Linked DNA regions of Kluyveromyces lactis. The protein of the gene in region 1 interacts with the protein of each later gene in a pairwise test. Links are inferred from orthologs where the notes say so. Each region holds a gene or a part of one and is shown in the gene's direction. Other genes may lie near its edges. The genes, in order: STU2, CCT6 and BIK1.

Evidence for each region.
Region 2: the proteins of STU2 (region 1) and CCT6 interact in a protein complementation assay, tested with the Saccharomyces cerevisiae proteins (2 studies listed by BioGRID). The link is inferred for Kluyveromyces lactis from reciprocal best matches to the Saccharomyces cerevisiae genes STU2 and CCT6.
Region 3: the proteins of STU2 (region 1) and BIK1 interact in a two-hybrid assay, tested with the Saccharomyces cerevisiae proteins (3 studies listed by BioGRID, with this or other methods). The link is inferred for Kluyveromyces lactis from reciprocal best matches to the Saccharomyces cerevisiae genes STU2 and BIK1.

The regions. Positions count from the first base shown.
Region 1 is NC_006041.1:1,461,092-1,464,856, reverse strand, and holds the start of STU2 (Stu2p), read left to right. Parts: upstream 1-1,509; coding exon 1,510-3,765. Other genes in the region: SER2 (phosphoserine phosphatase), read left to right, coding at 1-558; thioredoxin TRX2, read right to left, coding at 626-940.
Region 2 is NC_006040.1:1,555,779-1,558,973, forward strand, and holds CCT6 (chaperonin-containing T-complex subunit CCT6), read left to right. Parts: upstream 1-959; coding exon 960-2,594; downstream 2,595-3,195. Other genes in the region: methionine aminopeptidase MAP1, read left to right, coding at 1-304; SLY1 (syntaxin-binding protein), read left to right, coding at 2,957-3,195. UniProt on the Saccharomyces cerevisiae protein: Molecular chaperone; assists the folding of proteins upon ATP hydrolysis. Known to play a role, in vitro, in the folding of actin and tubulin. In yeast may play a role in mitotic spindle formation.
Region 3 is NC_006039.1:110,921-113,519, reverse strand, and holds BIK1 (Bik1p), read left to right. Parts: upstream 1-754; coding exon 755-1,975; downstream 1,976-2,599. Other genes in the region: HIS4 (trifunctional histidinol dehydrogenase/phosphoribosyl-AMP cyclohydrolase/phosphoribosyl-ATP diphosphatase), read left to right, coding at 2,337-2,599. UniProt on the Saccharomyces cerevisiae protein: Required for nuclear fusion, chromosome disjunction, and nuclear segregation during mitosis. Probably required for the formation or stabilization of microtubules during mitosis and for spindle pole body fusion during conjugation.

The DNA.
Region 1 (3,765 bases):
AATGAGATCGATTTCTGTCAATCTTTGAGAGAACGTGTGAAATTATTGAAGGGAATTCAAACGAGACACTTATACGATGAAATTAAACCTAGATTAAGAGTCACCAAGGGTGTCCCAGAGCTATCGAGGGCGTTGAAGTCCCAAGGTTGTAAATTGGCAGTGTTAAGTGGTGGGTTCATCCCGTTTGCTAACTACATTAAGGAAAAGTTAAACTTCGATTTTGCATTGGCTAATACTCTGGGTGTGGAAGTGTCGGATGACGGTACTGAACAATTGAACGGTGAAGCACTCGGCGATATAGTTGACGGAGTGCGCAAGGCCAAGACGTTGGTGGCTCTTGCAGAACAGTACAATTCTCCGATCGAATCCACCGTCATGGTCGGAGATGGTGGTAATGATTTGAACGCAATGGCCGCAGCTGGGTTCGGAATCGCATGGAACGCCAAGCCAAAGGTCCAAGAACAAGCCCCATGTAAGTTAAACAGTGATACAATGATAGACGTCCTATACATCCTGGGGCACACTGAGAAGGAGATAGAAACCATGATCAAAGAATAGAAATGTAAAGAATTTATTCTGATATATATATAGTAAAATGTATATTATAAGCAGTGTACAAAAAATTTTACACGTTAGCAGCAATGGTTTGCTTGATAGCAGCCAAGTTAGCACCTAGGACTCTAGAAATTTCCTTACCGGACTTGAAGAAAACTAGGGTTGGCATAGCACTGACATCGTTGTTCTTTGCAACATCTGGCAACTCATCAACGTCAACCTTCAAGAAGGTAGCTTTACCCTCGTATTCCTTAGCGAACTTTTCCAACATTGGGGCAATCATCTTGCATGGACCACACCAGGTGGCAAAGAAGTCGACGACGACCAACTTGTCGTCAGTCAAAGCCTTTTCGAATTCGGATGCGGAAGTAAGTTGAGCGACCATTATATATGAAATTGGAGGGGATAGTAAAGATAAATTGTACCTTATTTGATGAGGATAGAAAGTTATCAGATTATCCGATAATCAATCGAAGAGACAACTAAATAACCTTTAAATGTATCTTACTTCCTTTATATAATAATGTTGGTTAAATATCGAGTTTTTGACAAATTTTTGCTTGCTAATCAGGAATCGAGAGCTGGAATCAGCTAGAACCCGTCCATTTGTAAGCAGGTGGAAGCGCCAACACTCGTGTAACGGTGTTTTGAATGGCTTGAATTGACTGTATAATGTTCAACCAACACGCATCAGCGCCGATTGAGTGATTGGAGGGGCGTGTACGTGTATAATAGATCCTACCCTCCCATTATTCAGGTTTCTGCAAACCCGATCCAAAGCATATCAACAAAGTCACGTGATATATCACATGACTTGAAATCAATCGTTTCTGTAAACAAAAACAATCAAAATCAACCAGTAAACAAACAAACAGACGAGACAACATGAATAAAATAGACGGTCAGTGAGTCAACACAGGGTGCTGCCAGCTGTATCGCGTGTGTATATCTCCCATGGATAACGCTACGGATGATTCGGCGTCTTTTCAGACTCTGTCACTAGATGAGAGACTTGTTCATAAGCTTTGGAAGGCAAGACAGCATGGATATAATGAGCTAGAAAGCACATTCAATAAACTGTCCGTTGCTAGAGTTGCAGAGAGTGGCGTTAATAAGTATTGGAAGAAACCTGAGATTTTCACGGGGTACGTATTGGATTCCAATGTTGTTGCACAAGAATCTGCCGTTAAGGCCTTGTACAGTTTGTTGAAATTTATGATCGACGTACCCCAGATCAGAGATTTGTGTCAGCCGGGTCAATTGGTTCAGGGCTGGGTTCCAGCTCTGGTGGAGAAAGGTATGACTTCCTCGAAATCAGCGACGAAAGAGGCTTCATTGGCCTGCGTTTCGCTTGTCGTGTCATTGGATGATAATATCGTAAATGCAATCAATTGTCTGACGCCGATTTGGACCAAAAAATTACCGAAGCTGTTGACTGCAGCGTTAATGGTTCATGTAAAGTTGATAGAGCAGTTTGGGTTCGTGAACGTTTCTCAACAGGAGAAGATGCAATCGTTACAGGGTCTAGTGGAAGTTTTACCTAAACTTTGCTCACATGCGGATAAATCTGTGAGGAATGAGTCAATGCAGTTGATTTTACAACTATATACATGGTTTAATAAACCTGTACTTCAAGAGCTTCTATTGGGGAAGTTGAAGCCCATACAACAGAAGGACCTGGATAAACTGTTTGAATCGTACCAGGGCACTATACCGCCTTCTTCAACACCGTCTCAGTTTATATGGGCAGTCCCGGCTCAGAGTGATAACAATTCAACTGATTTACCCTTGGATCATGACGGAGATCTAGCAATGGCAGGTAATAACGGCCAGTCTGCCGCTGCTCTGGATAACCAATCAATCGATCCATATGATATGTTCCCCGTACAAACTATATTAGATAAGCTACCGAATAATTTCTATCAGAGTTTGGCGTCTAGCAAATGGAAGGATAGAGTGGAAGCTTTAGAAGAGTTCCACGATCAGACTTTAACCAAGGTTAAAAAATTGTCAGCATCAAATGAAGATCATTCTGAAATCATTCACAAATTTTGCTCGACTATCACTTCCGATGCAAACCTACAAGCAGTACAAATATCTACCAGCAGTTTAGATATACTAATATCCGCATTAAGATCAGAATATAACCCATTCGCATTGGAAACTTTAAACGCTCTCCTAACTAGATCAAAGGAGAAAAAACCAAACGTCGCAGATTCTATTTTCAATGCTCTCCTGAACCTTTCAAAGTACTATAAATTAGAGCTATGTCTCGAGTCTGTGTTACAACACATGAAGAACAAAGTACCACAGGTAAAAATTGTATGCTCGAAATTTCTTTTCGAGTTGCTATCCAATTGGACACCGACTGAAACTCTTCATAGAACGTCGGTATTCTCCAATTTGCCAGCGATACTCAATTCTTTGCAGCCCATTGTAAACGACAATCAACAGGCAACAAGAAATGAGGGTTTCAAGTGTATTGCTATCTTAATTAAGATATTCGATGAAAGAGAACTATCAACATATTTGGACAAGCTCGATAACTTGAAAAGGAAGAAGATCCTTGAACTTGTTGATAAAGTGGAGATCAAGGCGGCAACGGTTCCACCTCCACACCAAACCCAACCGCAAACCCAATTAAGATCAGCGGCACCAGTAGTACGATCCCAACCCTTGTCTTCAACGATCCCTTCAAAACGACTGGCCACTTCTCCATTGAAACCGGCACGTAACTCTGCCTTGAATGGCAACACGAAGTCGTCCAGGTTGACTTCAAGGTCTCTAACTACTCATCAAATGATGAACCATACGGATCTGCCTTCCTCAACACAACCCAAATCTAATACCAGTTCCAACACAAGCCTCTCTGGCAATTTCACACCACAGACAAACATATCCAACAGAATGTCACATTTAAACGATGAAGTGAACAAATTAAGACAAGAGAGACAAGAATGGCTAAGGGAGCGCAACGATCTCTTATCCAACTTAAATCAATCCAATTTACAACTTTCCAAAGTAAATAAACTCTTGAACGAGTCTGAGACATACGTTTCCAATTTACAAAGGCAATTGCAGGATTCGAAGGATCAATTGAACGCTAAGAATTTAAAGATCAAGGAGTTAGAGAGTAAACTGACGGGCGGTACTTCCGATACCATGTCAACAGATTCACCCATATCCTCGTCCATTAGCAGAGGAAGATTA
Region 2 (3,195 bases), on another chromosome or scaffold:
TGTTAGGACTTACTGTGGTCATGGTGTCGGTGAGTTTTTCCACTGTGCCCCCAGCATTCCACATTATGCTAACAACAGAACGCCCGGTGTCATGAAACCTGGAATGGTCTTCACTATAGAACCTATGATTAACGAAGGTGTATGGCAAGATATCACCTGGCCTGACGATTGGACTTCTTCAACAAAGGATGGTAAAGTTAGTGCTCAGTTTGAGCAAACCCTTTTGGTCACCGAGAATGGTGTTGAAGTCTTGACGGCAAGGAACAAGAAGTCTCCAGGCGGCCCAAGAAATAGGATAAAATAGACCCAGTGAAATGACAATAGTTAAAAAATGAATATCAATAGAGAAAGTTACTGTTTACCTCGTTTCGTATAGGAAACAATCCATAAAACAGCCATCATCGTCGTCATAACGGACATCATTTCGGCATAGTCTTTCATGTGAATAGATTCAATACATATCATCATATAAATCAATTTACAGAAGACCAAAATATTTAGAGAATTCTCATTGAAAACCACTATTAGTATTTATTATACTGAAGATGTGCGGTCCTACTAAAGTATAATCTTCATCATCTTTGCATAAATATGAGGATCACGACAGCATGGATTGTTGCTTTGCTTCAATAACCGGGTAACCATTAGCTTTCGCCACTTCCAAAGAAAAAAAATTAATCGAAAACAGTGATCTAAGTTTTCTGATGGAGAAAGTAAAGCTTTTAATTATGGCTAACGTTCGGTGTTGAAGAAGAATAACATTCAAAAGAGTGAAAGATACTGTTGCATTTTCGTCCACAACGTTGATTCTAATAGAACCGAAATCAATCTATACTCTCTAATATTTAGTTGTGATATTCATTGCAGTCAATTGCTTGCATCTTATTATCCAGATCAAAAGTCATAATTTGACAATACCAATTACGTGCAGTGCATAATAGAGAGAAAGCAAGATAATTATGTCAGTTCAGTTGTTAAATCCAAAGGCCGAGTCCCTAAGAAGAGATGCTGCTTTAAAAGTCAACGTCACTTCAGCGGAGGGTCTTCAATCCGTTTTGGAAACTAACCTAGGACCTAAGGGTACTTTGAAAATGTTGGTCGATGGTGCCGGTAATATCAAGTTGACCAAAGATGGTAAAGTCCTATTGACTGAAATGCAAATACAGTCTCCGACTGCTGTCATGATTGCTCGTGCAGCCACTGCCCAAGATGAAATTACTGGGGACGGTACTACAACCGTTGTCTGCTTGGTGGGAGAACTGATGAAACAAGCTTATAGATATATTCAAGAAGGTGTCCATCCAAGAACAATTACTGACGGGTTTGAGATTGCAAGAAAGGAAACCTTAAGTTTTTTGGATACCTTCAAAATCGAAAAGAGCGCTGAGGAGGATTTGGATCGTGAATTTTTATTGCAGGTTGCCAGAAGTTCCTTATGTACTAAAGTCAACCCAGAACTCACTGAAGTTTTAACACCAATCGTCACTGATGCTGTTTTGGCTGTTCAAGATCCTAACAACAGAAATCTAGATTTACACATGATTGAAATAATGCAAATGCAACATCTATCTCCACAGGATACCACTTTTGTTAAAGGATTAATTTTGGATCATGGAGGAAGACATCCTGATATGCCAACCAGAGTCGAAAATGCACATGTTTTGATTCTAAATGTTTCTTTGGAATATGAGAAGACGGAAGTCAACTCTGGTTTCTTTTACAGCTCTGCTGACCAACGAGACAAGTTGGCTGCTAGTGAAAGAAAATTTGTTGATGAGAAATTAAAAAAAATCATCGACTTGAAGAATGAAGTATGTGGTATGGATTCTAAAGAGGGTTTTGTTATCATAAACCAAAAAGGTATCGACCCAATGTCATTAGATGTTCTTGCTAAACACAACATTCTTGCTCTAAGAAGAGCCAAGAGACGTAATATGGAAAGACTACAACTCGTCACTGGGGGTGAAGCTCAAAATTCCGTTGATGATCTTTCGCCTAAAATTTTAGGTTATTCCGGATTGGTTTACCAGGAAACTATCGGCGAGGAGAAATTTACTTACGTCACCGAAAACAGAGATCCTAAGTCTTGTACCATTTTGATTAAAGGTTCTACTCACCACGCTTTGACCCAAACCAAAGATGCAGTAAGAGATGGTTTAAGAGCTGTTGCAAATGTCATCAAAGACAGTGCTGTCGTTCCTGGCGCTGGGGCATTCTTCATTTCTGCTTCCCAGCACTTGAAAAGGGCGAATATGAACAAGCTAGGCGCCAAAGGTAAAGCAAAAACAGGTGTACAAGCCTTTTCAGACGCACTTTTGTCTATTCCTAAGACATTAATAAAGAATTCCGGATATGATGCCCTTGATGTACTTGCCCAATGCCAAGACGAGTTGGAAGAAGATGAGACAAGAATAGTGGGTGTTGATCTAAATATTGGCGACTCTTGTGATCCAACTATAGAAGGTGTTTGGGACTCTTATCGTGTCCTCAGAAATGCAGTAACTGGTGCCGCAGGTATAGCCTCTAACTTGTTGCTATGCGACGAACTACTCAGAGCCGGTAGATCTACATTGAAGGAAGGTCCACCACAATAATGAAGCTGGTACAATTAAAAAATATCACTGTCTTTAACGTAGGTTCCAAAATCAAATAGAATTATGTATACTAAATGGAAATAAATACGAAGTACAAGACTCAAGTTTGGCCGATGTATATGTAATATGCGATCTCTTCACGAGTGCTATAGATCCAAATCTACGTGTTGGCCAAATACCGTTTCCATCACCGAAAACGAAATACTAATATACTTCAAAAAATGATTAAACATCAAAACTGGAAGCACCTTTATAATAAACAGACACACCAAAAGTACAGAAAGTACGGACGAGAGTGAAGTCATTGACTGCAAACCATTGAACAGCATACCTCATCGGGATCACATATATACCAGAGTAATATGCTGAATTCAGAATTGTCCTTAAGAGACAGACAGATTCTGTCTATTGAAAAGATGCTACTGTTCAATTCAGATAAAGGAACGGAAGCAGCAACAAGCAATCTTGATGAACAAGAGATCGTTTGGAAAGTACTGATCATGGATGCTAGGAGCACCGCTATAATATCATCTGTTATGAGAGTCAATGACTTGTTAAAATCCAATGTTACAGTTCACGCCCTTATCACACAACAGAGATC
Region 3 (2,599 bases), on another chromosome or scaffold:
AAACTTGGATAACAAGATCTGATCGATAGCTCTTTTTATGATGGCCATATTAAACACACCTCGATAGAATTGAATAAACCCAACAGCTCCAACCTTCTTCGTTGAATGTATGTTTTCACATTGGTCTTTGCACCAAGTAAGAAAAAACAGCTATTCTATCGTACTCATTGCAACCATCCTTCTGGATTTACTCATGGCCCTGGAGGCACTTAGAATATACCAGTGTTCAAAAGAAACACCCTAATGAAACCTAACAAAAAAGCCATCACTAATCACTTCTTTATTACCTTTTACCTTGTTCTAGTTTTACCAGTTTACCAATTTTCTTTAATGATATAATTACTGTATTGTAGCTAACGTCCGGAAAGTTAAATAGTGAACATCATTTATGAATACAATTACGAATAACTACTTTAGGAACCAGAAGCGGCTAGTTCTATTGCTGTTCAGCAGAATATCATCGCATGAAGTTCGCCTTGCTTTTTCATTTCTTGTTTGGAAGTCAAGATTCACGTGAAGGAGTTTTCTGTTCTATTTACCTTTTGTCATAATAACAATATTTACAGTCAATAGGCAAAAAACTAAAATCCTTAATCTATGGAGATACGATAGTAACAGACCTGAGGTAACGTTTCCAAATACCTTAATTACCAGTATTTTCTCAGCCTTTCCTGATTTTTCTTTGGTTTGGTAAATTTTTAAAACGTATGCCCAAAACACCTTCGTTTCACATCCCAACGGTCTATTTCTAGTGATGGATAATCAAGACTGTATAGGACTGGTAATTGAAGTTCCTAACATAGGTAGAGGGCAAATACGGTACATTGGCTCAGTAGAAACAAAGAAAGGAACATTTGTTGGTATCAATTTGTTTGCTGGCAATGGAAAAAACGATGGAACTTTCAGAGGCAGACGGTATTTTGAGACTTCTTTCCCTCAAAGTGGACTTTTTATCCAATGGGAAAAGATCGCCAACTTGATCCCAATACCTTCTAACCCTGAGGCAAATATGACCATACCACCTGCATCACCTACTCCCGTAAGGATTAACGCAAATTTTTTAGGGTATCATGAACCTCTTCAAAACAGTTTTCCTGAAATCAAGTCGCGAACTAGTATTTCAAATGTCATTCAACCGAATGACGATCCGATGCAAACTACTTCCTCGGACTTAAAAATGTTACAAACAGAGCTAGTTCAATACAAAAGACTAGTAGAGGATCAACGAATTGTATTCGAGGAGATCCAAGCTGCAATTGATGAATATGAGACTAAGTTGGATACCACAGAAAAGGAGAAAGTTCTACTTCAAAACCAACTCGACCATGAAAGAACGTCCCATCAGCGCCAAAAGCAGTTTTATGAAAGTGAACATGATCAGCTTTTGACTGTGATAGACGAGCTCCAATCTGAGATAAACCGGAATGCTGCCATATTAGCCGAGATTATGCAGAAGGAAAAGAAAAATTCCCTTGAAAATGATTATGTTATGCAAGATGAACCGAACAGTGATGCCCTTTTAATTAACGATTTAAGGGAACAGATACTAGAACTACAGCAACACAAGACTCAAGCTGAATTGCATAGGGTCCAATGGGAGAAAGAGAAGGAGCAACTGCAATTCCGTAACCAGTCGTTATCAAAAGAATATAAAAATTTGACTACTGAGATGACAGAGTATCAACAGAAATCCCATGATACAGAGACAAAAGAGTATACTCTCAACAAGGAATTAGACGATGCAAGGAAAAAAATTGGGGAGCTCGAATCCCGAGTCGAAGAATTATCCAAAAAACAGGAAGAAAATACACTTATTGTGGACAGTAACATTGAAACCTTGCCGTTATACAATCCAGGTGCCGAAGTAAAGTCAACTTTAGTGAATGCAGCTGCAGGGCGCTCGTTGTGGTGTGCTCTTTGCGAAAAAGACGGTCATGAATCAGTAGATTGCCCATACGACGACAAATTCTTTTAGAGTCAAAATTCGTCCCTTTTAATATCCATTGTTGTACTTGCATCATATATATAGCATACTTAGCGCATCATCATATAATGAATCATCTTATAATGAATTACCTACAGTCCATCAATCGCATCCGGACTTCTTCTTCGAGTTTTCATTGGCTTTCCTGTGTTTTTTTCATCATATGACTCATGTAATTCAGTGCATATGCGTTCAATCATATTTTCACAATCCACTGCAAAAATCAAGCCTCCTGGTATATAAAAATGAAAATATGAAATATGAAAAAAAAATAAGTTAGTCGTCATGCTTTATCAAATTTCGTTACATTCAGGACTGTCCACCTAAGACAAGAAGTCATAAAGCACCAGAAATGTTGCCTGTTGTACCTGTGTTCAATGCTGTCAATGCGTTGAAAGAAAAGACTTACCTTTACTTATCCAGTCAATTAGTACTTGATGGGAAGGATATGACTAAAGATGATATTTTGGAATTTGTTCAGAATAGTCATGGTCAAAATATTTCTGTTCTATTGAAAGACGCAAAATTTGAGGATGATGATCTGATTGTTCTATTGAATAATGGCGTTGTAACCTTGTTTATTGATTCTGATGATTATGCTGCTCATTTAGTTGA